Xenopus tropicalis: one gene and its partner. The protein of the gene in region 1 interacts with the protein of each later gene in a pairwise test. Links are inferred from orthologs where the notes say so. Each region holds a gene or a part of one and is shown on either strand. Other genes may lie near its edges. The genes, in order: tubgcp4 and sdsl.

Region 1 (16,520 bases):
CCAAGCCCACAGCTGCATATATAGCATTATATGAGAGGGCAATGGAAGGCGAGTAGAGCAGGGAAAGGTCAATGTTATTGTCAGTCCTTACCTTGAGCTGACCCAGTAGGTCCGATTCCTCCACCATAAGCTTCCACAAGTGCTAGAAGTATAGGCAAAATAATTGCGCTTTATTAGTATTTCTCAAAAAAAGCTTCAACAAAGATTATCAATATAAAAGTAAAAGAAAAAAGGATGTATTGTGGCTCCTTAAGCCATTCCAGTACCACAGTGTGATGTTTTTGTAAGGTATGCAATTGCAGGCTAAGGCCATATAGTTCTGGTATATCTGTCTCTGCATTAACATCAAAGCCAGTAAAAACCTCTGTTCTTGTGCAGGAAGGAGTGGTTTTCTCCAGAAACTGTGGTTAAAAATAGATCTTCATTTTTGTAATTTTTTAGTAGGGTTTAATGACAGCATTTAACATCTGCCTGTGCTACTATTTTATGCATTTAAAACTGTACTGACCATCTCTGCAGTACCTTGTACACTGAACACAGCAATACATATTCTTTATTTTTGTATAAAATATTATTAGTGGTATATCCTGCTAAATCTGTAAGCAGTCCTTCTGACAGGGAATACCTCCTTCCCCCAACAAGAACTAAGAATTATTATATTATATGTATCACCACTGACTTCACGTCTTAGCCACAGCAGAAGATACATGTGGAAAAATCCACTTGTGGGTATGAGCTCTTATTGGTTTGGCAATGACTGCCTCCTAACAGACACTGAGAGTCTGAGAAGGACCTTCAGGATGTCTGTAGATTGAGCTCTGAGCTGAAAGGAGTAGTGAGGAGATGTGTTTCCATCTATCCCTAGACTATATAAATAATCACAGATGGGGGCGCTGTAACTCTACCTTAGAAGTTTGGTACTTCTATTGAGGAGACACACGACTCACTGAAGCTCATGAGCAAAAAGCAGATATAACTTGTTTAAAATACATCATATAGCTGTTTGGAGGCAAAATCATGGAGTCTCTGGCAAATGATCAATGGTCACTATTTTATAAACCACACACAATTTGTCTGTTAAATATACCATAATCTGCTTTCTAGGTCACACACATGAAATTTCTTAGTTTAGCTTGTCACTAAAGTTATCCTGTATTTCCTCTCCAATGCCTGACTCAGCACCGCCCCGCCATTCACTTTAAGCTTGCATGTCACACTAATAGTAATATTCTTCATTAATACAGTGCCAGCATATTATATAACACTCTCCCATTATCCCAGTGGCCCTTGGAATATAAGATCCAGGTACAAACGCACTAGGTCTCATTTCTTCAGGAACTAACTGCCTAGCAGCTCCCATTTAAAGTACATTTTAGTGTTTTACCTTAAGATAACCGGAAGGTAACTCCCTATTTATAAGTCAGGACATTAAATGTTTAAATAATTGTGAATATTTACTATGATAAATCACCAGTCTCTTAAATCTATTGTAGTTTAGGTCCTCTCTGTGTGGGGAAACTTCCTTATACAAAGCAAAAAAAAAAAAAAGGCTGCAAAGGGGTCCAGTGATACAGTACTCATACAAACCCTCATTCACAAGGCAGGGGGCAGAGAATAACTAACTATGAAGGATGCTTGGGCTGCAAATGAGGGAGACAAGTGTTTCATCAGTTTAACAGAGTTACTGTACATCAAGCCAGAGGATGGCCTGAATTCCAGGCAATGGCAATGATCTATCTCTACAGGGTAATTCTGCTACTGAACACATTTACTGTGCTGATGTTACCCTAACATTTGGCAGAGGCTCACCTCGGCTACCGTGCTTCTGATTCGGTCAAGAACAGATTCAAAATCCACCAAACTGAAGAGAGGCTGCTGCTTCAGCCGATGGAGCTCTGCTGCAAATGTGTCTTCCTGGTTTTTTAAGATGGAACCTGTTGAGAACAGCTTTGGATGAATAGAGAAATGAGCAAGCGACCTGGAAATATTTAGTCTTGCATAAATGTTATATCTGTACACTACCAGCACTAGCATGTACATTTGCCCTGTAATGACTTACGTAACACATAACTGGCTCCTTTACAACTTTCATCCAAGGACTAGTTACATATATATATGTGCGATGTGCTATATAGGTTCTATGCTGCAAACTAGAAAGGGACATCTTGCTTGCCAAACTGGGAGATTTTATTTCCTAGGCCTATAGAAAAGACAGCTGAACACAATTTAAGGAAATAAAAACAGCCAGGCTCCGTATTGTCTCTCTTACCTGTCCTAGACATATTTGCATTTTGATTCTCAAACATCTGAACAGATTCACCCACAAACAGTATCTTCTCTGCAACCCTCACTGGAATATAGGATGGCAGCATTTCCGCCCTCAGTGAAAACTGTTTGAGGGATGGGGCCAACATGTTCTCTTCCTCTATGAGACGCTGCCAAAAGCAAACAGCATACATAGTAAAGTACAGCTTCTTATGGAGGCAGAATACATATAAAGGGATTTCTTTACTTACCGTAAAATCCTTTTCTCTCTAGTCCTATGGGGGACACAGGGCCTCCCTCCCAGAAAACAATGGGAGGTAGCTCCTTCTACTCAGCCAGTTATGTTACGAGTTAAGTTATCAGTTGGAATAGTTTGCTCGGTTCTTTGAAACAACTGGAGTATCTGTTGGTGGAAGGGGGGTTATATAGGGGGGAAGATCTTTGTTTTGAAGTGTCCTGCCTCCTGATGGGAGGGGATTTAACCCCATGGTCCCTGTGTCCCCCATAGGACTAGAGAGAAAAGGATTTTACGGTAAGTAAAGAAATCCCTTTTTCTCATACGTCCTGGGGGACACAGGGACCATGGGGACATACCAAAGACGTCCCTTGATAGGGTGGGAAAGAAAACAGAATAACTAATATAACTCTTACAGTACTACTGACTGCAAAACTTTGCGACCAAATGCCGCTTCTGCAGATGCAAAAGTATCAAGTCTGTAATGCTTAGTGAAAGTGTGAACCGAAGCCCAAGTTGCTGCTCTGCACAACTGCTCCGCAGATGCCATGTTTCTACAAGCCCATGAGGCACCCATTGCCCTAGTGGAGTGTGCCTTTATTCGAAATGGAGGAGGCTTCTGGAGGGAAATATATGCCCGACGGATTGCCTCCCTGATCCACCTGGCAATGGTGGCTTTGGAAGCTGGGAATCCCTTTCGGCTGCCTGACGGAATTACGAATAATGCATCCGATTTTCTAAATGAGGCTGTTCGTTCCACGTACGTGTGTAGGGCACGCACCACATCTATGTTGTGTAACTTCTCTTCCTTGGCATTCTTGGGTGTGCTACAAAAGGAAGGAATTACTATTTCCTCGTTCAAGTGAAAAGGGGAAACTACTTTGGGCAGAAAGGAAGGTCTGGTCCTTAAGATTGCTTTTTCCGTATGAAAGATTAAATAAGGAGAATTACAGGATAATGCTCCTATTTCCGACACCCTTCGTGCCGATGATATCGCCACTAGGAAAACCGTTTTCCAAGTGAGCCACTGCATTTCAATGATAGAAATCGGTTCAAAAGGGGAATTGGTCAATGCTACCAAAACCGTATTCAGATCCCAAGGAGGAACCGGAGACCGTATGGGAGGAACTACATGAGCCACTCCTTGTAGAAATACCCTTACATCTTCTTGTAATGCTAATCTTGATTGTAACAGAACCGATAAAGATGATACTTGCACTTTTAAGGAACTCAGACCCAGCCCTTTGTCTAAGCCTTCCTGAAGAAATTGTAGAACTACAGGAATGTCCGCTTTCTCATAGTCAATTTGTCGGGATGAGCACCAGTTAATGAATAACTTCCATATTCTGTGGTATGATTTAGAAGAAACGTTCTTCCTAGCTCTGATCATGGTTTGAGCCACTTCGGGTGAGAACCCTTTTCTAATTAAAATGGACTTTTCAACAGCCATGCCATCAAACAAAACATCTCTGGTTTGGAGTGCACAATTGGACCTTGATGTAGAAGGTCTACCCGACTGGGTAGTTTCAACGGTTGTTCGACTGACATTTCCTTCAGGTCCGAGAACCATGACCTTCTCGGCCAGCAGGGAGCTATTACGATAAATGTACCTCTTTCCCGCTTTATTCTCTTGAGTATACGAGGCAGCATAGCTATGGGAGGAAATACGTATGCCAATGTTGCTACCCATTTTGCTGTCAGAGCGTCGACTGCTGTCGCTAATGGATCTCTTGTCTTTGCCATGAATCTCTCTGTCTTCCGGTTGTGGCGCGATGCCATGAGGTCTATTTCTGGTTGACCCCAGACGGTCACTATGTACTCGAAGACTTCGGAGTTTAGTTCCCACTCGGTTGAATCTAACTGGTGGCGACTTAGGAAATCTGCTTCCCAATTTGCTACTCCTGGTATGTGTACCGCTGATATCTGATACACATGATTCTCCGCCCAGTTCAGGATTTTTCTTACTTCGCTTGAGGCTGTGGGACTTCTCGTCCCCCCTTGTCGATTGATATATGCCACTGCTGTGGCGTTGTCTGACTGAATTCGAATGTCTAGGTCTAGTAATTGTTTCTCCCAATGCAGTAGGGCATTGAACATTGCTCTGATTTCCAGTATGTTTATCGGCATTTTGGTTTCTGCTTCCAACCAGAGACCCTGCGCTGTCTGATTTCTGAATGTCGCTCCCCACCCCGAGAGACTTGCATCGGTGGTTATCACCTGCCACATTGGTTCCACAAACGACCGTCCTTGAGACAGGTGTGATTGCACTAACCACCAATTCAGGGAACTCATTGTCTGGTGTGATAGTTTGATTCTCTTGGAGAGTCGCTTGTGAGTTTTCCATGCTGATAGAATGTTCTTCTGTAGGTGTCTGAGATGGAATTGTGCAAATCTGACTGCCTCTGTAGAGGATACCATCATTCCCAACACTTTCATACAAAATCGGATGGATGGATTCCGTTCCGCCTTGAGTCTTCTGACCAATGATATCAGTTTCTGAATCTTGTCCTCCGGTAGAAACACCTTTCCTTGGTTCGTATCGAAGATGAATCCCAGAAAGGGCATCCTCTGGGTCGGTATTAATGAGGATTTGTGTCTGTTTATCGTCCAACCGAATTGTTGCAGCGTTTGTATCGATTGCTCTAGTTCGGTCGCTGCTTGACTTGATGATCTCGCCTTGAACAGTAGGTCGTCTAAGTATGGAGTTATACAAACTCCTTGGACTCGGAGGTGAGCTGCCATTACTGCCATTATTTTTGTAAATATGCGTGGTGCTGACGATAGTCCGAAGGGCAACACTTTGAATTGAAAGTGGTTGTTCTGAAAGGCAAAGCGAAGGTAGGCCTGATGAGCTGGAAAAATTGGGACATGAAGGTAAGCGTCCTTCATGTCCAGAGATGTGAGAAATTCCCCTGGTTCCATGGCCCGAATGACCGAACGTACGGATTCCATTTTGAATCGTCGGTAAATTATCCATTTGTTGAGAAGCTTGAGGTCTAGTACCGGGCGAAATGATCCATTCTTTTTGGGTACCACAAATAGGTTTGAGTAAAATCCTGTGAATCTCTGATCCGGGGGCACCGGAGCAATCACATCTGACTGAATCAGTTCCTCCACAATGGAAAGAAAGGCCGTTCTCTTTTGAGGGTCTTTCGGTACTCTGGACATGAAAAATCTTGGTGGGGGAGGGTGGTGGAATTCTAATTGGTATCCTATCTTGATGGTGTTGGCTACCCATGGGTCGTTTAGATGTTCGTGCCATCTGTGTGCGAAGTGTTTTAGTTTGCCGCCTACTGGGAGGTCCGATTGGGTTGATCTCGGCCAGTCATGCTGATGACTGTTTGTCGTTAGAGGGTTTGGCTGAGTTCTTTCTGGTCTGCCAGCTGTTCTTACTCTTGTAGGGATATCGTCCCCTAGAGGATGACTGTCGTGGTGGTGAAGATGTCTTGGAATGGCGAAATCCTTGTCCACGAAAATATCTAGGTTTCTTATTTGTGGTTGGATTTCCTCTGGTTTTAGGTTGTGGAAGTAGTGTGCTTTTTCCTCCCGTCGCTTGTGAAATTATTTTCTCTAGTTCCTCACCAAACAAACGCGAACCCTTAAATGGTAGGGATGTAAGGGACTTCTTGGAGCTTAAATCCGCCGACCAAAGACGCAGCCATAACACTCGGCGTGCTGCCACAGATATGGCTGACGAGCGAGCTACTGCTTTTAGGATATCCAGAGAGGCGTCACAAAGAAAGGAACTTGCCTCTTGAATCCGTGAAATGATGATTTCCATGTCTTCAAAAGGCATTTCATCTCTGTTTCCCGTTAAAAGGATGTCAGACCATGCCTCTAGGGCCCGTCCAACCCAGGCAGTTGCCAGGATGGGCCTGAATGCTGCACCTGTTGAAGTGAATATGGCTTTAAGAAAACCTTCCAGTTTCTTGTCTGCTGCGTCTTTAAATGCTGACGCGTCTGGTACTGGTAAGGCAGTATTCTTTGACAGACGTGACACAGGAGCATCCACCAGCGGTGGTGTGCTCTATTTTTCTATTATCCTAAAATGGATACAGTTTAGCAAATTTCTTAGTTATCTGTAATTTGTGCTCTGGAGCATTCCATTCCTCCTGGACTATGGCCTGGAGTTGCTCATGTATCGGAAAGGAAATGGAATGTTCTGTTGCCCTACGGAATAGGCCCTTTGGTTTCTTAGACGAAGGGGCTGATTCATCAATTTTTAGTACCTCTAGTACTGCCAAAATTAAGTCCTCCACCTTTCTGGAGTGATCAGAAGGACACGATGATTCCTCTCCTTCAGATTCAGATGGGGATAATTCCCCTTCGCTAAGAGGATCATCATCTGAATCTGAAGGAGAGACTATTGGAATGGTAGGCCCTGAGGGTGTAGTAGCCCTGCGTTTTACCGGCTTTCTGTTTTCAGGTGGGGAGCTCAATCTCTCTAGAATTTTATCTAGAGATGAGGCCAGCATTGGTATTCCCTGAAGGGAATTTGAAAGGGACACTGCCCATGCTGGTGTCTCAGAGGTTCCGGAAGTCCCAGAGCCTGATGGAGTAGGGGCCTCCTCTGGGCTATTTCCCACCACAGCCACTGATACAGGGTTTGTGTGTGGTGTTGGGGGGTCTGCGGTGGTTGCTGCAGAGCATGTTGTGCAAAGTGGCTCCTTTTGGCCTGTTTTAAGTTTATTTTTACATTTTGTACACGAGAAAAAGGTGATCTTAGAGCTCTGTTTCCCCCCCCTTGTAAAGAGTGAATCGCTCGTTCCCTCAGCCATTGTTCTTATTGCTGTCCCTCCCCTTGTGCTATTTCCCCTCCCGGTACCTGGTGATGGAAGGAGTACTTAGGAGGAAAGAGCTTAGCTGCTGAAGCGAGTGCTGTTCAAGAGGTGCGCAGGGTAGAAATGGCCGCCACTGGAGTGGTGCGTCTGCAGGGCGCGAAGAGAGAAATTGAGGGCGTAGCATGAGCGTTGGCGCCAAGTCACGGAGTGACGTCACTGGGTATTCGCGGGTTCAACCCGGAAGTTCTCTCTCCTTCGCGCGCTTACTGAGTTCCCCGGTGAGTAACCGGGCGGGTACACAGTTGTGCAGTGTGTGGGAGGGGAGCGAGGGTAGCGCTGAGGTGTCACCGGCACTCCGCCCCGCGCCCCAGTATCGCTGCCGTGTATGTGTTCCCCGTGTGGCGTGAGTCCCTGCCGCCGGGAACCAACCACCCATTCAGGGTTATGTTCCCTGGGCTGGCCATCACAGGCAGTGTGGTATGAGGGAGACTAGAGCGTAGCTCGCGCTCACCTCCACTGGTCTGCCTGACCAAGTGTTCGGTCTGGTATTGCGGTGATACCCCAGACCGTACAGGTCCCGCGGTGGGGGTTGACTCATTGAGCCCAGTACACTGGTTCAGGTCCTACCCCGTTTCTGGATCTATTCTCCAGTCGCTGAAGATTGAAATAATGTAGGGCCCCCTGGGGCCGTGTTGTCTACCTCCTGAGTTTGCGAGGACACATTAAAAACTGGAGTATCTGTTGGTGGAAGGGGGGTTATATAGGGGGGAAGATCTTTGTTTTGAAGTGTCCTGCCTCCTGATGGGAGGGGATTTAACCCCATGGTCCCTGTGTCCCCCAGGACGTATGAGAAAAATGCATTAAAGGGAATGGTCATTATCTCAGTACAGGTACAACACAGTTACAGGAATCTACAGGATACTTTTCCAATAGCATTAAAAATTGCATGCTAAGCTGTATTTACTGTGTAAAGTCTCACCAAGTCTTGCAGTTCTCGCAGCTGTTTTCCAGTCAGACCACCAATGCCCAGATCATCATCATCTTCTTCAGATGATGCAGCTAAATTAGATGATGGTCCTTGCCTAACAAAGAACTCTTCATACTGGTCCAGCAGAAGCCCATGAAGCATCCAAGCTGAAAGCTGCTTGTACATCACTCCATGACACACAGCAAGAATCCTAGGCAAGCACATGGTTAGTCTAGGTATTTTCATCCAGATAACGGTCGGGGAGGCCCGTCAGGGGTCCCCATACACAGGCAGATAAGCTGCTAAATCAGTCTGAAGGACCCAAATCAGCAGCTTAAATCTGCCCATATATGGTCTCCTTAACTAGATTTCTAAACCTGCCCCATAGATAATCAATCTGATACCTAATAGGGCATTGTTGTGGCATGGCCAATGTTGAGGTCACCTTAACTATCATTACAGATACTATAAACAGAACATCATTTCTCCAACTGCAGATTGAATTATATTACAATTTACACAAAGCAGCCACCCAGATTCCAGATCTCCTTACTGAGACAGGACTAAATGTTGGAACAACAGGACGACCACAAATCATGTTGTTTGAAAAAAGTGTAATTACCAGAAAATTAGTTTCTAGGGGTGACATTCAAACAATTACAAAAAAAACTGTCAATATCCCCTTAAGGTTTGTGACTGTGACTGCCATCAAGCATTCATTAGTGTTAATATACAATATAAAAATTGTTTCTTTAAAGGAGAACCAAACCTTAACTAAAAAAGTAGGCTAGCCCAAGGCAACCTCAGCCATTTAGCAGGGAAGATCTGTGCCTCTGTATATGCCCCAGTAGCTCCCCATCGTCTTTTCTGTGATCCACTGCACATGCTCTGTGCTGCTGTCACTTACTGAGCTTAGGGACTAACTCACAATATACTGCATACATATAATGTAAATGTCACAATCTATGACACGCACATAATTTTCTGCTTAATAATTTGAGACGACCCTAAGCTTAGCATTTCAACAGCTGAACATGTGCAGTGTCACTGACACTTCTAACAGATTCTAGTACGGTGACCCCCTGTGTCAACAAGTACTGGATCATTACTACTACAGAGATGTTGAACCTTTAGGCTGATTCAATAAGTTTAGTATATAAAATATGGCATTTCTAACTATATTAATTTTTAAGGTTTAGTTCTACTTAAACCTTACATACATGCCAAGACTGATTCCAGCACTGATGGGTAAAAGGGGGACCTAACCGAATAATGGAAAGAAAATATACATATAAGATTTCATACTTTTCTAATGCGCTGCGTACAGGGGGCAGTCCTCCACAGCTGTGCTTGTACACAGTCTCCAGTATCTGGCAGCCATGAATCTGGGAAGAAAACACAGTGATGTCACTTATTTGTAAACTCATTTTACCAGTATTTACTTGTCAACACAAAAGTATCCCCTGATTTCAAAAGACTCTTTTCCTATACTTATTTACAGGTACTGACGTGAAATATCCTCTCTGTAAATTTTTGAGCCATGTTGCCACAAAAGCAGCTGTGAGTGGAGTTACTCCAAATATCTATACATGTATGTCTGTGTATATATGTATATGGAAATGAAAAATTAAAATGTGCAGGTATGGGATCTGTTATCTGTTATACAGAAATTTCTGAATTAAGGGAAGGATACACAAGGGTTATGGTTCCAACACAAGTGTTTTTTATTAGCAGTGTAAGTACATTCTGAAGTGAATTAAGGGAAGGCCATCTCCCATAGCATCAGTTTTAATTGTGAAAACATTATTTCCTTTTTTTCCTCTGTAATAACAAAACAGTAGCTTGTACATGATCCCCACTAGGATATAATTAATCCTTTTCTAAGGCAAAACAATCCTATTGGGTTTATTTAATGTTTAAATGTTTTTTGTAAAACATGGCTATCTATATTACAGAAAGATCCCTTATCCTGAAAACCCCATGTCCGGAGCATTCTGGATAACAGGTCCCATACCTGTATTAGAATGTGTTACGGTAGAATGGCTACAAAGTCATGGCCATAATGATGAGAATGGAGAAGGGCAACGAGTTATGCAGAAAAAAACCATCAGAAAATTTAAATGATGAAATGTGGATCAAGAACCACAAAACCTAGAACAGATTCTTATAAAAGTCTTTTTACTAGCAACATATATTGCAGTTTTTTTTTCACCAGCGTGAAAATGCTCCATATGAAGCAGCTAAGCAGGCAGTCACTGACATCCATGTCACCGTGTTACACATGGTCCAAAAGCGTTTAAAGGCGTAGTTCACCTTTACATTAACTTTTAGTATGTTAACCTAAAGGTCTTTATTTTTATTTTTTGTATAGAAGTATTTGCCTTTTACTTCAGATAGATTTCGAATGGGGGTCACTGACCCAGCAGCCAAAAAAATATTTTATTGTTATTTTTTTACACCTTATCTTTCTATTCAGGTCCTTTCCTATTTATATTGCAATCTGTCATTCAAACTACTGCCTGGTTGCTAGGGTATTTAACACCCTAACAACCACATAGGTACTGAAATCTCAAACCAGAGAGTTGAACAAGAAGCTAAATAATTAAAAAACCACAAATAAAAAATGAAGACCAACTGCAAATTGCATCAGAATAGCACTATCTATATCATAGTACAAGTTAATATTAAGGTGAACAACCCCTTTAAGTGTGCACATTTGGGCCCAAATCTGCCCTGTGTGCGCAGTGACAGGTGGCTGCTATGAAAGCAAACGCCGTCAGCATAGAAGGTTTTCTATACCAGCAGATGAAATGACAAGTTGTGTGTTTTCATATCAGAGAATTACAAAGCCCACTGAGACTTTATTAGAGATAATAAGTGACAACGAGATGATAAACAGAGAAGTAAGAGTGTTTATAGTGTAACATTAACCGAAGCTAAGCTAAGGTACTGCACTTCCAGGCCTCCGGCAAAACAAGGCAGCATTACTATGGAGCTGTGTAGGTCCTCATGAATTGCCCAGGAAACTGCAGAGAATAAGACTGACCTTCTGTTTTCAAATCAGTAGTAAAAGACATGACATTCAACTTGTGGGGTTCTTTCTAAATGAACTTGGCATATAAAAATGTTCTTGTCTTTTCTTGTAACATCAAGAGATGTCAGACGGCAGAGAAATGTTAGATAATGTGAAAGCGGAATCAAAGTTTAAAGGTGCCCATGAGATAGCTGTACAGTGCAGAGTCTGTAGTCTTTTTAAGGGGAAGCTATACCTTAAATAAAAGTATCTCTTTTGTTTATTTTCACGAAACAATGTAATGGAACACGGGTTATAAGGTGCATAGCAATTACCTTCTCTGCATATCTGTATAGAAATGAGTGAAATTTTCCAAATAGCTTGCCTCAGCTGAGTTTAACAAAAAACATATAGACAATCATTTCACCAGCACTATCTCTGTTGTCATTCAAGAGGAAAATTGCCATGGATCAAAAAATTCCAGCTTGAACACAAATATACACAGTACACAGATAATTCAACACAATTCTGACAGCTAGGGTGGTAGGCTCCCGAGATGCCTTCAAAAACGTCTTCTTTTGTTTCCTATAGAACACCCCCGCAAGCTGCACCAATCACTCAAGTCTCCAATTCTCCAAGTCCTGACTAATTCTCTGTCCACCCACACTTCCAACATTTATTATGCTTTAAATACTCAAAGCACACAACCAGTAAACTGTAGAAATGAATATAAACAGCTAAATAAAGTTTTGCTCAACGAGTGTAACAAATTCAGAGTTCTCTTGACCAGAAGCAGTACTTGTCACGTCATATTACAATGCCCCATAAGACCTTCATAGGGTATGTTTTATTTTCTCCTTCTGTGCAATAAAATAAATCCCAGTCTACCGACTAATGAGCAGCTAGCAGAAACTAATGAACAATATCATGCTCATTTAGGAAACTTGCAACTTGACTAATTAGCTTGATAAGCTATGAGACCTTTAAAGAGAAGGAAGCCTGAGGATCTCAGTCTGTTGCCACCAAACATGTTTATGTGCCCACAAATACCTTGCAAGGCAAAGAGACTTTAGGACTTTTTTCTTAAATATATATATATATATATATATATATATATATATACAGCGCAAAACATGTTACAGCACTACATTAGCTAAAAAGCTAAAACAATGTTTTTGACAGAGCTGTTTATTGTGTATGAAATTACTCCATTTAACACATTTGAACACAAGAAATAACCATAAGAGAACCATAAGTAATGCATTACCTTTTGGCTCTTGATCTGTTCCACCACTACCATGACTGATGGAAACAGAAGGTGAAACTGTAAAGGAAAAAAAGATCTTTAAATCAAAATATTATTGCAGCAGTATGATATACTGTAGATTCTTTGAAGAAAGACAGAAAATGTATTTGTACCAAATGTTACCTTATTCATGAAAAATAAGACTTGCAGGTACCAAGTGCCAGAGGTTTAGTAAGATAAGCCAAGACTAAAACAATATATTGCACTGACACACTTACCTGGTCCAGGGAATAATTAATGTGAGATATGGAAAGATGTGGATCCGCCAGAAACTGCAGAAAAGTAAAGTAACATAAAATGTTAATCTGTGGGTACATTTATATTAACACTGGCCCTACCCAGCTGCACTATACTGATAAATTACTCACTGGTGTCTACATTCCACAAGTCAATCAGAATGTTTAGTGTAGAGTTTGTTTGCTGTTTTTATTTTTATTTCCAGGCCACTGACTTTGTTTCCAAATGATCCAGAAGTTAATTGTGGTTCATGGGAACATGACATTTTTCATATAAACCTTTTTCACAAGCAGAAGTGACACAGCTAGTTTACTTTGGCCATTGCCTACAATTTACTGGTTCTATGGATGAGCCATTAGTGTTGTTCACCAGTGAATCCTCACTCACAATAATGAAGTGAAATATACAAATAAATAAGTCTGTCAAAAAAATTCTAATAAATTATTTTTTTTAAAAAAGGAGGCAATAAAAGGAATGATAAACCAGTTAAAAAGAGTGCACTCAGGCATAGTCTTAATGCAGTGATCCCCAACCAGTGGTTCGTGAGCAACATGTTGCTCCCCAACCCCTTGGATATTGCTCCCAGGGGCCTCAAAGCAGGTGCTTATTTTTGAATTTCTGGATAGGAGGCAAGCTTTAATTGCATAAAAACCAGTGTAATTGCCAAACAGAGCCTTCTGTAGGCTTCCAGTCAACACAGGGGCTATCAAATAGTCCATTATAGCTCTCATTGGCACCTCCAGGAACATTTTTTATGCGTGTTGCTCTCCATAACCTTTTCCATTTGAATGTGGCTCACGGTTATAAAAGGTTGGTGATCCCTGTCTTAATGGAAAATATGCCCATTTCACGGCCAACTGGTGGATAGACTGCATATAGTGCAAGTGACATAAAATCACATATTTACAAAATATTATTAACATGCACATAATTAAACAAAACCCATGCTACTAGAATAGGATATGGATCAGTCCTAATCACCTCAGCAGCATCACTCAATATGGGGTGACCTTATATTGAGTAATGCTGCTGAGGTGATATGGACTGATTATTTTCCATTAAGACTATGTCTGAATACCCTCTTTTTAACTGGGTCTCTTTTCTTGTTGGTAGTGGGTATTTATGTGCTAACTCAGTGTGTACTGACAACTACTTGGTGGTCAGTATGATGGAGTGCTATCAGTTATGGCACCATTTGCGCCAGCATAAGGAGTGCAGTTCCTATAAGTTTTTATAAAGCACCCTGACCCGCTCTCATTGACACACAACTAAATTGTTTCTTTCCAGAAAAAGATGAATGATTTCAATATGATTATATCTAAGGGCATGTGTAACCACACAATATATCATATGTCAAGAAGGGCCCCCGGGACAGTAGTAAATTGGTGTTGTGTAGAATGCCGCTCAGGCACTGAGGCCAACGAGTAAGTAGGGCTTGTTAGAATATAGTCCAAGGCTCAGTGCGGCTGCACTTACCAGTTTTATGTAACACTCAGCACAGGCGAATTGGTTAACACGCCATCTCTATGACTTACTATGTAACAGATTAATGCAGATTGAAAATATAGAGCACAGTTATTATACATATTTTTTCCTTAATCAGAGGCTGATCACACTGGATCAGATAAGGTGGCATATCGATCTGATGCCTCTTACTGTGGTCTTCAACATTTGCAATACAAAAACAAAAATGCTGCCCTACTTCTTTGGAAAAGGATGCTTATATACCTCCTGCTCCAGATCTAATAAGGCCTGTCTGTAAGGTTGAAGTATTGAATCAAGGCCTCTGCAAAACGCTCGCAGGTAAATGCCATGCAGGCCGACCTGTCCTTGTTGTGAGGGATGGTGATCCTGAAAAAAAAGAAAACAAACAAATCTTACAATTAAATAAAAATATATCAATGTTCATTGCAAACCTTCCATTATTATTATTAATTATCAGCCAGAATTAACAAAAAACCTTTTTCGTCACAAACCCAAAGGAGAGCTGAGGGGGCTGGGCTTCCCTTATATGCTTAGCTACTTCAATGCTAACTGACCTTATATCATCCTCCTCCTTCACTCTTGTAACACCCAGCCTTTGCACCTCTCTGGAATCAGCCAAATGGTTTTAGCCCCAAATTACTGTACCTAGAGAGAAACTTTGTCCGTAGCCTTTCTATGAATGTGCTCATAGCTCAATCCACCTGTGGTCAGTCACATTTGGCCTGGAGTAATAATTCCATAAGACTGTACAGTTATGGGACCTATTATCCAGAATGCTCGGGACCTGGGGTTTTCAGGATAAGGGATCTTTCCATAGTTTGGATCCCCATACCTTAAGTCTGCTAAAAATAATGTAAATATTTAATAAACCCAATAGAATTGTTTTGCCTCCAATAAAGCATTACCGTATATACTCGCATATAAGCCGAGTTTTTCAGCACCAAAAATGTGCTAAAAAAAGTCACCCTCGGCTTATACTCGTGTATATGGATTTGTCATTCGTTGCGCACGCACCCCCCCCCCCCCCCCCCCATAAACTATTAATCAAAACGAATATTGTGAAAGAACATTAGGCGTTTGTCAGAAAGTCTGATTTTAACCCAATTACCATGAGATTTTGGATACCAAACTTGGCCATGTACAGACAGATGAGTTCAAATGTGATCTTTCCCAGACAGGATTTTCAAACCTGCCTGATAGTTATCTGGTCAGATTTCTGCAACGTATCACATTATGGTTTCTTTCCTTTACTCCCAATACCCTTTAGTAGGTTCTTTAAAAAGGACATTCAATTTAAATCAGTTATGCTAATTGTATTATACCATCCCTATGAATATTAACATGTTGTTTCATTACTTTTTTGGACTCAGATCATTCAGATCATTACAAACAGTAACAGGTATCCTAGAAGGTTCAATGCAACATGTTGAAATGTGCAGCTAATTGTTAATATAGCTTGCAGGCTCACAAGCTACATGAGAACACCAGGTGGATCACTAAGGAAATTTCTGACCACAGATCCCTCCACCAAGAGTACGAAATGAAATGGACATTTAGTGATTCCAACAGTAACACTTGTAAATAGTAGCTCATTTTCACTTGTACCTGTTGCTGCACATGCCCTGTGTACTGTTCAATAAATTCTGTGAAGCGAATATAATCTGTCCCCAGCTTGCACAGCCGGTTCAGCACGTTGGTTTCACCGGGATGGAGAAATGGTACATCCTGCACCACCTGAAACAATAAGTCAAAACTCAAACAAAATAATGAGAATATGACATTTTTCCTAATGAAATAAGTCATTCTAGGCAACTACCCAAAACATATACTTTATCAATTTTCAGCCCTTTGTAGTGCTGGTTGTAACACTTGATACACTGTAAGGTGGCCATACATGGGCAGATTGCAGCTGCTGATTCGGGCCCCTCAGATCGGTTCGACAGCTTATCTGACCATGTATGGGCACCCCTGAGGGGCCTATCTGAACAATATCTGGCGTAAAATTGTCCATATCTCGATCGGGCAGGTTAGATTTTCCATTGGATTGAGGACCGCATTATCTCGTTGATATGGTCCTTTCTCCAATGGCGCCTTTGCCCACCATTTTAATTAGACTGTTTGGCCCTGGGAATTTACCCTATATAGCCCACCATAGGTGGGAAGAAGATCCATTCATTTGGCAACCTCTCCAAACAAGCGGATCACAACATGTATGGCCACCTTTACAGAAG
Region 2 (16,520 bases), on another chromosome or scaffold:
GACTACTTTTATCAATGAATAAGCCTGCTTTGAATGGGCTCCTGTTATGAAGCTAAGTTTGGATATACTGTATTTCCAAAATAATTCACTCTCTGCTCCAAAACATAAGCATATTGGGGGCACCTCTGATTTCTGAAAGCTAAAAACCTGACGTTGCCAAACTTTTACTTACCCGTAAACCACATTTAAACATTAATAAAGATGGAGAACAACGCTAACATGCAAAAACATAGTATTTGGGGGATTTCATGTTCCCATGACTCCAAAGAAACAAAGCCTTCACCACCCTAATGTTACCCATAGATCCTGAAGGTGGTAGCTAAATGGCCTTTTCTTCTGTTCAGACCTATTCTGCATTCAGAGGACTTTATGTGACCCATCCTTCTTATAGAGAGGAGCTATAACAAAATGTTTACCTATATTGTTAATTATGCATTTTTTAAGCTTTCTTTAAGTGCATAATCTATATGTAAATAATCCTTTTAAAGATATTAAGCGTTGCTTTATGCAGCCTCCTGCAGACATCTATGGGAGTTAGTGCACAGAAACTGTCAGGCTTGGTTTTCTTCTCCTGCATGGTAGGCCATAATGTTGTTCTATTGATTTTTCAATACATGTTTTACATCCCTTCTGGTCTTTGTAGTGGGATAGGCCCTGGTCTCAGTTGCAAGGACTGCAGATAACATATTACAGCCAGAGGGAGAACTGACTTGGTATAATTAATGGTGCTTCTGGTAATAGGATTTCCCAGCCTTGAGGAACCTTTTTACATAAGATATTGGCTGGAGAGTTATGATTTATGGGGGTCTGAGCCCAGTGAGATTTTAAAGGAGGGCTTATGGAATCAGGATATTTATCAGAGATAGGAAGGAGAGAGGGAGGAAAGGGCAAGCAAAGAGGCTGAAGGGACAAAGGTTTGAGCCCATACTGAACAGAGGATTCAGGAAAAAAAGACCAGGGGACACAGATGTCCAAAGAAAACAGGGATACATACGGGTGTGTGAAATAAAGTTAATATTGAGACAAAGATCGAACACAATTAAATCTAAGTTTGCTATCATTGTAAGGATGCTGCAAAACCTCAGGTATTCTGGCTCCCCCTTGTGGCTTAACAGCAATTCACCAAGCAAAGACGGCACATATTCTTTACGCAAATGTTTTATAAAGTCTGATCCTTTCTAGTTGCCTAATTTATTTAAATAAGGTGTTTGTTAATCCCAACATATATGGTATGTCAATGGCAAAATCCTACATATTTCTAAAAGAAAGAACAGTTGCAGAAGAATGGGCCTCCAATGTACTACCCTATTTGACTCAATCCATCTCTGGCAGGTTCTCTAATGTTAAGCTACTATTAATAAATGCAAAGACAAGAAAGGAATAATTTGATTTTGATAATTTGAGTTGTCAGTTTATATTCAGTTGGGATTTAAAGTGTTGAAGCTGAGAAATGCTGATCCCACTGCCGCCACACACTACCATCACTATGGGGTCAAGGGGTGTCTTCAAGCTTCCCTCCTGCTGCAGGCGTTGGATATGTCCTGAATAGACAGCAGCAAGGGCAGCTCCACATGCAGGTTCCACAAACATTAGCTCATCATCTGGGGAGAGTGAGAACATAAAGTGAGGGGATGGAAATCAGACACTGGAAACAAGGGGAGACATAAACTAAGGGTGGGGTATTGGGAACGGAGGAATGAACTTACAGTAATATTTTTAAATGGGAAAAAGGCAGGTTGTTGTAGGTTTGCCACAGGTCATTGGAGTTGTAAAAATTAAATAATGAGACCAATTGCAAAGTTGCTAGGAACAGGACAATCTATAACTTAAATGCTAACTTAAAGGAACAGTAACACCAAAAAATGAAAGAGCTTTAAAGTAATAAAAATAAAATGCACTGTTGCCCTGCACTGGTAAAACTGGTGTGTTTGCTACAGTAACACTACTATAATTTATATAATAAGCTGCTGTGTAGCCATGGGGGCAGCCATTCAAGCTGGAAAAAAGGAGAAAAGGCACAGGTTACATAGCAGATAACAGATAAGTTCTGTAGAATACAATAGTGTTTTATCTGTTATCTGCTATGTGCCTGTGCCTTTTCTCCTTTGAATGGCTGCCTCCATGGCTACATAGCAGCTTATTTATATAAATTATAGTAGACTTTCTGAAGTAAACACACAACTTTTACCAGTGCAGGGCAGCAGTACATTATATTTTAGTTACTTTTATACACTTTCATTTTTTGGTGTTACAGTTCCTTTAATAGTGAACCACTCCTTTAAGGCATCTTTAGCTCTGCAATAGCATATACATTTTTTCTGCTTTGTTAGAGAAGTTCCTTTCCACTATGCTGCAACTATATTGTAGAATAAAAAGGCTCCCATGTTGCCAATACCATGATCATTGCTTTCACGGAATCTGTACAGCACCTTTGATAGAAAGGGGGAGGGCTGGGGAAGGCTTTGACTCAATTGGCTGATGTAGAAGGCAAGGGGTGGATAAAACTGACATCTTTTTTTTTATGAAACTGCAAATGTTGCCACAAAACTGTGCCAAGCTAAGCAGTCCAATTATCCCTATTCTCCAGCTCTTGAGGAACTGTGACTGGTGGAGATCAGTGGTGGGAATAAATACCTAGAAGGACTTGCATGAAAAAAGACTAAGGGAAAGAAGGCAAGAGGAATACATGGAGGGAGAGCATTTAATACACACCCAAAAACATTTCCACAGCTCGAATGGCTTCTCTGTCATCAACAGTAATGGAGATAACTTTGTGCTCCCTTGTACACTCATAGGCTCTGTCACATACTGTCTTTGCGCCAAGACACTTGGCAACACTAAAAGAGACAGGCAAGAGACAGACACACACATTTATACATTAGTAGGTTGTTGCATTACAGGATATCAGTAAGAAAAGAATGACATTATAGTTTGGGTAATGTGCCAAACAATCTTCTTGTGATGTGTTAAGTGACCCAGTGTTCTTCATGGGCATGAGAAATAATCAGGAATGGATGCTGCATTAAAATTAATATCTCCCAAGATGCTCTGTGCATTTCCTGTCCTCTAGGCTCTTAGTCATGGTCCCTACGTGTTTTGTGTCCTCTGGGCATAAGGGCGTCTTGGGAGACGTTCATTTTAATGGAGCTTTAAATGAAGACGTTTTTTATTTTTACTTTTTGTGACCCTTGTGGATGCTTTGAGTGCCTATAAGCCGATGCTGTTTGTTATTTATTGTTACATATTGACATATTACATACAGGTATATCTAATGTGTAATTCAGAGATATTTTACAAGGGGGAATATATTTGCATGGTATGGTAGACAATGACTTCTAACCTGGTAATGTCTGGAAGGCTGATGGGTTTGCCTGCTTCAAGCGCTGCATTCAAACAGTGGGCACCTTTAGTCTCCATTGCAATTATGGGAATATCAGACCAGCCCACCTTCTTCATCCCTTCAGCCAGCCCCGCAAGTAGCCCGCCACCCCCTACAGAAACCACAAGTGCACCTGGCTTCTGAGAACCCAAAGAAGCCTTTAGTTCACACACAAGGCTGGCATGGCCTTCCCTGAAAATAAATAAATCAGTCAATCAGTGAAGAAGTGAAGAATTTCCCAGAATTACCAGTTAATAACCAGTTATTAACTACTGCAACAGTGCTGTTATGAGTTTTCAAGCTGAAACCTCTTGTCTTACCTGGAAAATAAGTCTCATTGCCTGTTTGGCAGTACACCTGTATTTTTTTGCAACTAAATCTTGCCTCCAAGCCAGAAATTCAAAAATAAGCACCTGCTTTGAGGCCACTGGGAGCAACATCCAAGGGGTTGGTGAGCAACATGTTGCTCATGAGCCACAGGTTGGGGATCACTGCTTTAAGGGATAATTTATCCACACATAGAAAACCAAACTAAATCAGTCTGAGTGATTGGCCACCTTTCTACCTGCTTCCTAAACACCATTCTGCCATGTTTTAGTGCTGCAGTTGAGGAGAGGGGATGGAGCCAGTAGAGGGAACTACTGGCTAAACTCTGAGTAGAGTTTGACTTTAAATCACTCACACCTTTGTGTGTATATAAATGGCCAGTGTTCATTACTTTGTGGTATTGTATCAGTCAGTATTTCTTAAAGTGTAATGGCTGGCTCATATTGGATGCTCTCTTACATATCTTAAGTGGACTGCTTGCTCCACCGGAAATGCAGGAAGCATTTACTTCTTCACAGAGCCTAATGCACAATTCTCCCTTCTTGTGCAATAAAATGTAAGTATGACACCCAATATGTTAGCCAAGGCATTAATTTCTACCCAGATGCAGTAACCCATAGCAACCAATAAAATGTTTTGTTGACCAGTAAATGCTACCTGTTGTTGTTACATGTGATGAGACTTGCAGCAAATGTCCACCTTTTATTATGTTACGCAAAAAAAGCTTTCTAAACAAATAATGGTGTTCCAGTAGTGTTACAGCTTTTCTGTACATGCAACATACAGGAATATTTCCATATGCTGGTAATGCTCAATAATTTTTATTCTAGTAAGTAAATTTCAAATGGCTGAGGCCTAAATAATGACTGTGGTAAACATGAGCAGCCTTGGTAAACCAAAAAAGGGCGATAAAAATGATCGCACGCTTTTTTGCGTTAAAAAACGCAAAATAATTTGCGCGCGATTCACCATAGTATTATCGCGTGCGAAAAATCGCCATTTTCGCATGGGTTATTTCTCGCACTAGTTTTACCGCATGCGTTAATTTCTGCGCTGAAAAGAATACGATCGCATGATTCACTATAACTTTTGCGCGCTAAATATCGCATTCGGCTATGCGAAAATTAACACCTACTACAGGCAGGCGAAAAATTATACAAAAGTACAGTAAATTATTTTTTGCAATAAAATATGGACTTACAGTGTTATTTATTCAAGTATGTGTTTCCCCTAGAGTGACGCAGCCGCCAGTTTGCAGCGAAATGTTCATTTTTAATACAGTAATTTTCTGCAAGTATTGGCGTGTATGGCTAACATGGCGTGCGTTCATTTGCGCGACTATTTATATTTGGCTACAAGTGATGAAATGCTTCGCCAGGCATGGATTCGCAGCGAATTTTTGGACGTGCGTTGAATTTTTTCGCGGCGGATTTTTTCATGCGTTTCGCAAAACAATCCGCCAATGGCAAAACGCATGTAGTCACAGCAACAATTTTTTTGCCCGCACAACATTTTTGCCGTTTCGTGGATCTTTCGAAAGATTTGCTAATTTTTCACTAAAGAAACCAGAACACATTTGCTCATCACTAGTGGCTACTATTTATAAGCGGAAGAAAGGACATCGAGCACACTTCGGACCACTGCCGGATCTTGGTGAGCATGCTGTTTCTCAGACTCTAAACTACACAAGAGATAGACTCTAAAACTTGAGCGGCAGGCTCGGGGTTTAAACACCCGGGCCTCATCTAACCACGTGGTACTTATAGTTTGTTAGTTTATTATTTTTTTCATTTATTTGTTTATTACTTATTTATATTGTTTCTGAGAAATTTTGTTTCGCTTTAGGGTTTCCCTTAGAGCGATCTTTTTTCTTTTCTTTATTATATACTATTTATAAGCATCTACTATTTATATGATACCATTTATATGCTACCATTTATATGTGGCTAATATTTATATACACCATTTATATGCGGCGACAATTTTTATACACTATTTCTAAGCTACCATTCATATGCGGCGACTATTCGCGGGCGTAATTTAGCACATGTACCAGCAAATACCGCATTGAAATAGTCTTCGCGAGTTAAATAACGCATGCAATATCGCGCGTAAAAAAGCGCAAGTATGCTTATAGTGAATCGTGCGAAAAATCGCCAAAATTAAGACGCGGTAAAAATTTTAGCGCACAATAAAAATAGCGCACATTTTATCGCCCTTTAGTGAATCAGGCCCATAGTGTCTAATTTTAATAAAGGTGAACACAGAACTCGTTCCTTACTCTTTGTTTGAAAGTGTTTGATCCTGCTTGCACCAATTCTATTTGTCTATCTAAAATAGGACCTAGAGTATGGGGGAAATAGCTGCAATAACCTTTTATTTGTTGTGCCAGTCCCTGCAGTCCCAGATATGAATGTACCTAGCAAAAGTAACACTAATACTATTTTCTCTATATATATGCTCACCAGACGAGAGGATGGTTAAACGGAGAGATATACACACTGCCAGGAGTTTCAGTCAGCTGGTGAGCATGTGCATCAGCATCGTCCCAGACCTGCAGTTGGCAGAGGAGAGAAAGTTAGTGATGGCACAAAGTTTCTAGAAGAATGGCTTGTGGTAGAGCAAGGTCTTGTAGTAGCTGGAAATCCTCTATAAATATGGAATTTATACTGTTTTGATGCCTGGGAAACATAAAATTGGGGTTCTGCTGTATATATAAATCTAAATATATATATAATATGTTTGAGTGTATGTATATATTGCTTCTTTCTGGAATATCAATTGGTTTTGTGCCATTTAATGTGAGTATACACCATGTGCCACTCTGCAATAGCTTTAAGAATCCTCAGTTGGTGGGCTGAAGGCTTTTGGAGGTGTGGATCTGTATTTCAGTAGAATAATAGGAACAGTGCAACCAGTGACCAGAGTACTGAAAACAAGAGAAGATCACAGGCACATTGGGGTTAAATGATTACCCATTTTGTGAGATAGTAGGAGGCAGATGTATCTTGGTATATTGGTATTGCACTTGTTTGAGACACAAAGCACTAAGCTGCTCCTATCAGCTAAGTATTATCTCCACGAATCATTTCACCTTAATTGCAGCCTCTTTGAGGTCTGTTTTGATACATTTTATGAGTCACTTTCTACGCTAATGTTTTGCTAAATGACATGTATTAAAATTCACCAAACTGTTTATACTCTGAGGTTTTGATAAAATGTTTTACTTAATGTCTGTAATTACACTTGACACAATAAATGTTTTGTTGTAGTCTATATTTAAATCTGTGTGTTATATGTTAATAGCTGGCTCCCAGAGCTGCTATATCAATAAGGCATTTTTGTAATCATTTGTGTAACTAAAACTTACCCAACATTGAAATCTTTTTAGAGCCTGATGGTCTGCTTCATACACATAAACTGAGGGGTAAATGCAAAGTGCAAAAGACAAGTGCAAAGCACCATATTTTGTACTTTGCAACTGTAACTTTGTGTCCATTATTCTAAGGACCACTAGCAAATGGACAGGCTCAGACCAGAGATTACACCTGCCATGGATTGACAAAAGTGTTCTCTATATGGGCCCAAAAGGGGTCAATCTTGCAATCTTTTCTACACTTGTATCTGTACCAATAGTAAATAAGCTCTGTGTACTGGCTCCTTTGTACCCCTTGGTCCCCCAGTATTCAAGAAGATTTTTTCTCTTGTTTAACCCACTAGTTGCCTAATATTTGCAAAAACATTCCTCCCACCATGAAAAGATGTTTTCAGGACCATTTCCATGTCAGCTATCACAGCTGTACAAAAACATTAGACACCAGTACATATTTATAAAAGGATGAAAATATAGCATTCGTCACATCATCTGTCTAGTTAAAGCAAGATATAATAATCCACTGGTATAAGTAGCCTGGAGAGTGGGATGAATGTGAAGGTAATAAAAGGGCCATTTGTATCATTATAGGATGCAAAAAGAATTATCCAGTAAATACTCTGAAATTTATTCCCACATCTGATTTACTTGTACAGATCTTTAGAATTTATCTTGATGAAAACAAAAGTTTTTTTACCATTTTATAAAACCGATCTCAGAATGTGTTACATAAGTATGTGACCAATTATTCAGTAGGATAGATAGGTAATAGTTTAACATGACCACACACACAGAGACCTAATTGCCACAACCTGATGGATAGGTTTATGGGCTGATCCAAAGGGTGACTAAGTAAAAGATTGTGGAGCACATACATGTGTTTTTTTCTCATTTGTCAGATGCTGCCAAATGGTTTTGTTGGGGCTGTTGATAAAATATACTGTAGTATCTGGCACCCAGTGATTGATAGTTCCTTCCCTTTTTTTTGTATCTACCTGAATATAGAATACTGGTTAAAAGGTTAGATGTGATTTATTAAGACAATAATTTATTTATTGACATTTTTTTGGCTTTTTTCAGTTCCTATTCAATGGCTTGAAGAGGCACACTCTTACAGGCATGGAGCCAGAAGACATAGAAGAATTGTCCCCAAAATCATGCCAGCAAATTATCTTCCCTCCCCTAGTTACTAACTACTATTCAGATACAGTACAACCCACTACAAGTCATGCTTCTGGAGAGTATTCATGGATGTACCATACTTAACAGAGTGGAGAAAGTATTGTTTTGCTAAAGACATGTCAAGTCTGTACTGTAGCCCTTCGACCAGAGGGGACCCTTAGTAATACCAAATATAAATACAGTAAGTAAAGTTTTAAGCAGGATCTGCGTGCATCTTTTTAAACCCTTGAAGAAAGAATGACTACATGAATGCATAAAAGGATAGTGATGAGGGGCCCTTGTTTAGGGGTACCTGAATGTAAGTCAAAACCAGCAGAAGCATTATTATGATGAGATTATTTTTTTTTTTTACCTTTCCAGTCACCACAACGTCAGCTCCCAGATCCTGCAGCTTCTGTACAATATCTGCTCCAGTGGTCTGTGGAACAACAATGGTGGCTGGCAGGGCCAATCTTCTGCAAGCATAAGCTGCTGCAAGCCCAGCATTACCCCCTGTGTGGGAATGAGAGAGAGAATGTACAGTATAAGGTAGGGCAGCAAAAGCACCAAAGCAAGGAAGCAAAGTAAATGCTGGAAGTGTATGTGGAGCACAAAAGAAAGACTCATAGATACAAACAGATTAAGATCAACAGACACCCAAATAAAGTAGCTTCATCAGTACCTGAGGAACAGACAAACCTCGTGCAGCCTTTCTTCGCAAGCTAAAAAACAGAGAGAAAAAGTTTAGTTTGCCACAGCTTTCAACAAGGCAAAGTTATGGTACAAATAGGTCATAAAAGGCACTGTTTGCCCATAGCTAAGATGTTTTTTAAACAGGTGACCAGTGCTACATGCTGATTGGTTGCTATGGGTTGCTTGGATTTAAAATAGGTCTTGGCATTTCAAGCACACAGAGGCTCAAACAGCCCCCCCACAGGCCCAACAAATAGTCACTGTCTATGGCATCTTACAGCAGCCCCTCTGGCATTTGCCAGAATCCACAGATTGCCAGCCTTGTTACAACTCCTGGGCAAACTTAGGGGCAGATTTATCAAAATTTGAGTTTATAAAAAAAAAAAAAAAATTCACTGCAGCAAAACTTTTCTTCTTGAACACTAGCTTATTTAAGAATAAAACATGCCAGGATATTCCTGCGCCCATTTTGTTTTTGGGTAGAATCACATTGATAAACTAGCAAAAATAAATATATAAAAAGCTGTTAGCAGTTCCCATTTATTTCTATTTAAGCTCAGTGGTTTTTCCTTGTAGTTTTTCTTAAATCGTTAAAAAAACACAAACTCAAATTTTGATAAATCGGCCCCTTAGTGCCTTTTTTTTTTTAAATAACCCCAAGTCCTAACAATATGTTAGTCAGAGCTTTGCTCTTCTTTTTCTACAGCATCATTCATTCTGCACTCTCCACATCTCTCTCTTGCTCTCTGTATCTAAGAACTTCTTATGCCATTGCACAAACTTCAGTTCAATACAAGAAAAATTTTACTGTAAGTATGGTTGGTTTCAAAGACTGCCTTTTTGCACCCATCTTTGTGGTACCCAAAAAACTTTAACTATAATGAAGCTCACACATCTGGTATGATTAAAATTAAGGTGGCCATACACAGGCAGATTTTAGCTGCCAAATGAGTGAATTCTCTCCCGATATGCCTACCTAACGTGGGCACCATAGGGCTAAACTATAAAATTACAACAACGGGAATAAGGGCCATTGGACAGAAGATCAAAGCATCATAGGATTAGGAAACTTCGGAAACATAGGAGAGAAATGTGTAATTCCCCAGTATGGCCCACACCCAAACCCGTAATGGTCAGCCAAATTTCAACTCTACCCTGCCTGAGCTAAGGGTAAACCTGCAACTCTGTCATTGATGAAGTTAAATGTCTACAGCATGTTTCTCCTATTTTGTGCACCTTTATAGCCTTAGCTGAAACAGAAATTACGAAAAGGAAAATTCAAAGTAAGCACAAATTATTGTTTGCATAATACACGGTCTGTGTACTGACACTATTTTTAGAAAGTTCAGAAATTTCTTCTGATAAACTTTTTCTATCGTTGACCTTACAAGAGATAATTTACCAGACTTTGATAGCCAGGATTATTTTTGTAGTAGTATTGTAGAGATACTGCTGAACTTTTAGGGTGGAGCATTAAGCTCAGTATATAAAATACAGCATTTGTTTTTTTGGGTTTAGTTCTCCTTTAATGTATATAGATAGACATCCATATCTCTCAGCTGAATAAGATAAATAGTACATTATGGGGCATGTAATACAGTGGGCAACATTTGCTCCAGGGGACTCATTTACTAAGTGGTAAAGTCCCTTCCAAAAAACGGCATCATTTGTCCAGTTTTTATATTACAAAATTACTATTACTGGGTCTGCTAGTAGTGCTATATATAAGCTGTGCTAGATCCTGGGTACAAAACATGCATTCATTTCTAAAGATACAAATGTTTATGGGCATCAAATTGGCTGGACATCTTTATTCATTTAGTCACCCTTCAGTTAATGACAGTAGCCTAAAATAAGCATGGCTAAAACTTGTCAGGCAGCACATAGACATGGGGCTACCAGCAGAATTGTAACTAAAGGTGGCCATACACGCACCGATATTATCGTACGAAACCTCGTTTCGTACGATAATCGGTGCGTGTATGGCATGTCAGCGAGCCGACCGATATCACAGGAAGCTGCTGATATCGGTCGACTCGCCGATCGGCCAGGTTAGAAAATTTTGATCGGGCGCCATAGAAGGCGCCTGACCAAAATTCTCCCTTCAGAGCTGAATCGGCAGAAGGAGGTAGAAATCCTATTGTTTCTACCTCCTTACCTGCCGATTCAGCCCTGAATGGTGTGTGGCGGATCTGACGATGTTTCGTGCGACCGACGGTCGTACGAAACATCGTGAGATCGCCACGTGTATGGCCAGCTTTAGCAACTGTTAACTCTACAAATAAAACAGACTTGACTGATTAAATCATAGAGATACCATTCAGTCAGCAAATATGCTAATTGATGCCGATGTTAGTTAATAGGAAAGCATAACAGGTATAGGACGGTTAGTATTTTCCAGAAAAGGTAGCAACCCTTTTGGCCCTTGGGGTGATCAGTGAAATCAGTGCAATGTTGCTGTCTTTGTAAAAGCAAATAGTATAATACACAGTCAATGTGCCAAACAGCTTTAAACATCACTATAACCATACAAGGCTACACAGTGGAAGTGCTAGGGCATTACCAGACTGGTTCATACTGCAATGGGTGGAATAGAGATACAAGACAAAACAAGACATGTTACAGTATATAAAATGAAATGATCCCATAGCCAAAACATCATTGTAAAAACTCTTTCTCAGCAATACAATGCTTATTTAAAACATCCAAAGAAATGGTTCTTCACTAAGTTTCAGAACTTGGCCAAACTAATATTACTTAGTAAGCCTTAAAGGGATTCTGCCATGATGTATATGGTGTCATTTATATTACTAAATTACACGGTGTACATTGCAAATAATTAATTCTATCATTTCAAATTTTATTCTTGAACCAAAAAATTGTATTTGTTTAGTTGTAATATTGGTGTGTAGGCAGCCATCTCAGTGCATTTTGTCTGATCGTGAGCTTTTAAAAAGTGCTGCACAACTGCTTTCAAATTAGCCACTATGTGGGACATGGGAGCATTTTTAGCAATGCAAGTGTCAGGGAGCTATTATCTGCTGATAACTGATTTCTGCTGATTGGCTGCGGGAGGTGGGGGCAGGAAGGGGAGATGACATTACTCCAACATGCAGTATAGCATAAAGAGAGTCTGAAGTTTATCAGAGCACAAGTCACATGACTGAGGGCACCTGGGAAACGAGAAGTTGTGCTCACCACTAAATTTTATACCATAAAGCAGGGGTGCGATGAGGCTGTGCCCACAAAATTCCAAACAGAAACAAATAGAAAGAAACATGAGGTCCTCTGCACTAACCCATTATCAATATACTGTATAACATTATCAATATATAACATGACATTTGACATAAACATGTCAAAATTAAATAAATCAGTTTGATCTTGTGAAAAATGGATTTCAATGCAGGATTCTGTTGGAGGAGCTATAATACCTAATGCATTTTGTAAAAGACTTTAATTGCTTACCTTGTACCCTGGGCTGGTGCCCCTGTTAAGAGAAAACAGCACCAGCCCGGGGTACCTGTAGGAAGCGCTTCCTCCTTCCTCTTTCTTCTGTGGCGAAATCCCTGGGCCGGCGCATGCGCAGTAGAGTGAAAAGTTGACTTTCTTGTTAAAGTTCTGGTTTTCACTCTACTGCACATGCAGAGCGCGCCAACGCGGAAGAAGGAAACACTCACTGCTACCCCAGGCTGGTGCTGTTCTCTCTTAACAGGGGCACCAGCCTGGGGTACAAGGTAAGCGATTTAAGTGACTTGGGGGTGCCTAACATTTTGGCACCCCCAAGTGACTTAGCCTTTCCTTGTCCTTTAAGGGAAATACGGCTAACAAAGGCCACTAAATAAAACACTGATTTTAGTAATCTAATTAACCCTCAAGGCTGTCAGTAAAACTACAATATAGGTTCTGGGGTACCCTAGCAACCAAAATGACATGCCCAAACTAGGATTAATATAATTTAATACAATTAATGTAAATTTGTATATATTTTTTCTTGTATTCATTTCAGTCTCCCCAACTCTTCCCTATACAGTACATATCCCCTTGGTATTTCTGTGCCAGTTCTGCCAGATATGGCAGCTGTTAATTCTAAAGAAAGCAAATTCTTCAGCACATCACCTACACGTTTCAAGGGTGCACTCACTTCCCCGGCTGCTTCCCAGCCAAACATTCAGTCATAGCTTTTGGTATTTGGAGAAGCACACCTCTATACTCTGGCAAATACCTTTAAGTCATGTATTTCAGCAGAAATGCAGCACTGTCGTTGCTGTTAATTCTAGCCACTCACCTTCTGACAATAGTGTCCAATCCCACGTATCTTGAATGACCCTGCGGGCTGAACATTTTCCAGCTTCATGAGAACTGTGGTCCCAGCCAATTTGGATAAAGCATGGCTCTCTTTCAGAGGGGTGACAATATGAAAAGGAGCTTGCTCTGTGAAATCCATCTCTTGAAGAAGAATGACCTGTTCATATACGGAATAGGGTATAAGCAGCTTTGACAAGAGTCATTCGACTGATATGTCAGTAGAGCTAAAGACGCTGCCCCCACAACATGTACAGATTGCTTTAGACATAAGATACCATAATGACTCCTAGTTGAGGCCACCATATTTTTTTCCTTGCAAGAGATGTTCTGGAGAACAAAACATGTTAGCTCATGTGTTTACTTATCTTCATAACATACTCTATACCCATACTCAGCTAATAAACTTATGAAAACAAGAATTATATTATTGGGTGCTCTATAAATAATATGTGCCCTCCAGCAAAGGGGGCCGAAACACCCAGTCACACAGAACACAGTACAAACCTGATGCCAGCAGAGCACCTTGCTCCTTTGTAGAGCTCAGTACTTAGGCCTTGACTGCATGCAGCCTGACATCCACACTGACCGCTTTGCCTCAGATAATCTTTAACCACTTTACTAATAACAGATCAAGGTCCCGAGGGAGTGCCTGTGGGGAGGAGAAATGTTTCAGGGAATGCTATAAGCTTTCTACTGCTGATAGGTCAAGTTTAAAAGGGTTTATCACTGCATTACGGGGACTGCATTTCTTTGTTCATTAAAATAATTCTGTTACTAACTTAATAACTTAAGTTATGATGTTTTTTCGATAAATTGTATAAAACTATCTTTTTTTTGCTCACAAGCCACCACCAGAGCTGTCACCTAGACTTATAATTTACTCCATTCCATTACCACCATCTACTGTATGCACTGATAATACCCTCATGCATGTTGTTTTCTTTCAGTTTGGATTACTGTAACATTTGACTACATGACTTACCTACTTTAAAGGAACAGTTCAGTGTAAAAATAAAAATGGGTAAATGGGGATTGCATAAAATAAAAAATGTTTCTAATATAGTTAGTTAGGCAAAAATGTAATCTAGAAAGGCTTGAATGAGCAGATGTCTAACAAAATAGCCAGAACACTACTTCCTCCTTTACAGCTCTCTAAGCTGTTAGCACACAGTAACCAATCAGTGACTTGAGAGGGGGCATATGGAACATGAACTATTCAGTAAGTTTGCTTGCGAATCTGACCTGCATGCTCACAAACTAACTGAACAGTTATGTCCCATGTGACCCCTCCTAAAGTCACTCACTGTCTAACAGCTTAGAGAGCTGAAAGCAGGAAGTAGTGTTCTGGCTATTATGCTAGACATCTGCCCACTCCAGCTTTTATAGATTACAGTTTCGCTGTCTTGGTACTTTAGAGTAGAAAGACATGTATTTTGGATTTGAAGGAATGTGTACTTTCCGAAAATATAAAGCTTTCTGGAGTTAAAGTACTTCTTTATAGCTTTATCCCACATAAAATGATATAAATGTGTTGATTTTGCAGGAGCAGAAATGACAGAAATGGTAGATCATATGGGGGTATCTTCACCTTGGGGCTCCTGAAAGCCACATACTTAGGTAAACCTATACATATTGGGCATAAAACTATTCAGTGGACCCCTGGCGTTCATATTTAGGGTGTTTTATCTTGGTACCTAATGTTATGTGGGAGATAAGATGCTGCAAAGTGTAAGCTTTGAAGTGATTTTTCAAAAATTTCAGTTTTTTTTTAGAAAAACCTATTGCAACTTGGTAGTTTGGAGTAGACAGACAGTTTTACCTATTCTGGATTCATCTGAATCTGTTCTTTCCAAAAATGTATCGTTTTCTAGGGTGAACCTATGATTGCTGTAATTTTTGGCAGCTTTTTTATGCAGCTTTCTGAAGCAGTGCTTTGGAAATTTGGTAGTGTACTGCTGGGAGTTTTTGAAAACAATATATTGTTTTCCTGGGTAAACTAAAAGTCCCCCTAAGGAACGGCCCCTAAAGTGAAAGATTTAAAAATGTTTAAAAGCTGTCTGGCAACAAAAGTTCTGACCAAATCAACTGGCAGTGAAAGGGTTAAAAGTGAACCTCACCTTTAATGCTCCAATACTTTCCACTCTATTTGTATTTTACAAATCAAGATAATAAGAACTTTGCATTAGGGATATTCTTACATTCCGGCTATGATGATCCCAGGGCTCTGAAAAATATTTATTTTACACATATTCCATCTGATTGAAATAAGGGATTTACGATTTCTTGGAGATGGTCCTAGTCTAGTGGGCCCTGGGCAAATGCCTCTTTGGCCCATTTATTAAAGCAGCTGCCCTGTCCATTTGCAGTCTGTGTACTAAAGTATCTGGTTGTCAGTCTTGGACAGCATTTCATACGGAATTACTTCTCAAATATTGCAAAGTAGTGGAGACCAGTAGCTGATTCATGTGTATGCCTGATGCCCTCCTGGCATGCTTCACACTACAGTAACTATTAGTAGCTCTGGCTCTGTATGGTGATCTCTCGTGCCATACTGTTAATGGAAATAATTTGCTCTAATTTTTTAAACACCCTACATTTCAATTAGATCCTCCTTGGCCTACTCCAGCACCCACATAATACTGCCATCTTCTTTATTGTAACTAGTGATGAGTGAATCTTTCCCATTTAGCTTCGACGAAAAATGCACGACAAAAATTTGTGAAATAGCAAAAAAATTGCGAAATGTGTCTATTATGTAACTTTTTTGACATACATGACTTTTTTAAAGTGTGCAACTTTTTTTGATGCAACAGTGACTTTTTACTCACTTGCCGAATCCATTCCTGGTGAAAAATTTCACTCATCATTAATTGTCACTAATGACTGTGTGAATGATATTTGGGGTTCTCAGAAATGTATTTATTATAAACTTTCTTAGAGGTCCTTGGCTCTCCATGTACAGAATATACTATATAAGTCTCCCCAGATTCCTTTTATGCAAGAAAGTGTTAAATTACATTTTGCTAAGTTGGCATCTATAACACTGTGCACATTGCATAACACATAGGAGAGCAGCACCCTGGTTGTTTGCCTGAGCTTGCACAGGATGTGTAACTAAATCAGCATGAGTCTGCACTATTTGTGCATGTATGTGTGACAATCTCCAGCCTGGAGACACATTCAGCCAGCTAGCCCTCATCAGGTGACCTAGCACTCTATTAATGGAACAGAACAGATACAAGCTGCGCGTGTATGTAAGGTATTCACTATTCCTGCTCT

What was found.
Region 2: the proteins of tubgcp4 (region 1) and sdsl interact in a two-hybrid assay, tested with the Homo sapiens proteins (2 studies listed by BioGRID and IntAct). The two-hybrid records come from large-scale screens. The link is inferred for Xenopus tropicalis from reciprocal best matches to the Homo sapiens genes TUBGCP4 and SDSL.

What each region holds. Positions count from the first base shown.
Region 1 is NC_030679.2:107,034,427-107,050,946, reverse strand, and holds part of tubgcp4 (gamma-tubulin complex component 4), read right to left. Parts: intron 16,024-16,520; coding exon 15,895-16,023; intron 14,656-15,894; coding exon 14,533-14,655; intron 12,840-14,532; coding exon 12,786-12,839; intron 12,586-12,785; coding exon 12,529-12,585; intron 9,634-12,528; coding exon 9,554-9,633; intron 8,460-9,553; coding exon 8,261-8,459; intron 2,436-8,260; coding exon 2,270-2,435; intron 1,935-2,269; coding exon 1,810-1,934; intron 143-1,809; coding exon 92-142; intron 1-91. UniProt on the Homo sapiens protein: Component of the gamma-tubulin ring complex (gTuRC) which mediates microtubule nucleation.
Region 2 is NC_030677.2:146,171,794-146,188,313, forward strand, and holds sdsl (serine dehydratase-like), read right to left. Parts: upstream 13,811-16,520; 5' UTR 13,746-13,810; intron 13,399-13,745; coding exon of another isoform or gene 13,381-13,398; coding exon 13,222-13,380; intron 8,963-13,221; coding exon 8,923-8,962; intron 8,754-8,922; coding exon 8,614-8,753; intron 6,261-8,613; coding exon 6,172-6,260; intron 3,572-6,171; coding exon 3,341-3,571; intron 2,838-3,340; coding exon 2,713-2,837; intron 1,602-2,712; coding exon 1,408-1,601; 3' UTR 1,158-1,407; downstream 1-1,157. UniProt on the Homo sapiens protein: Catalyzes the pyridoxal-phosphate-dependent dehydrative deamination of L-threonine and L-serine to ammonia and alpha-ketobutyrate and pyruvate, respectively. Also exhibits racemase activity towards L-glutamate and D-glutamate.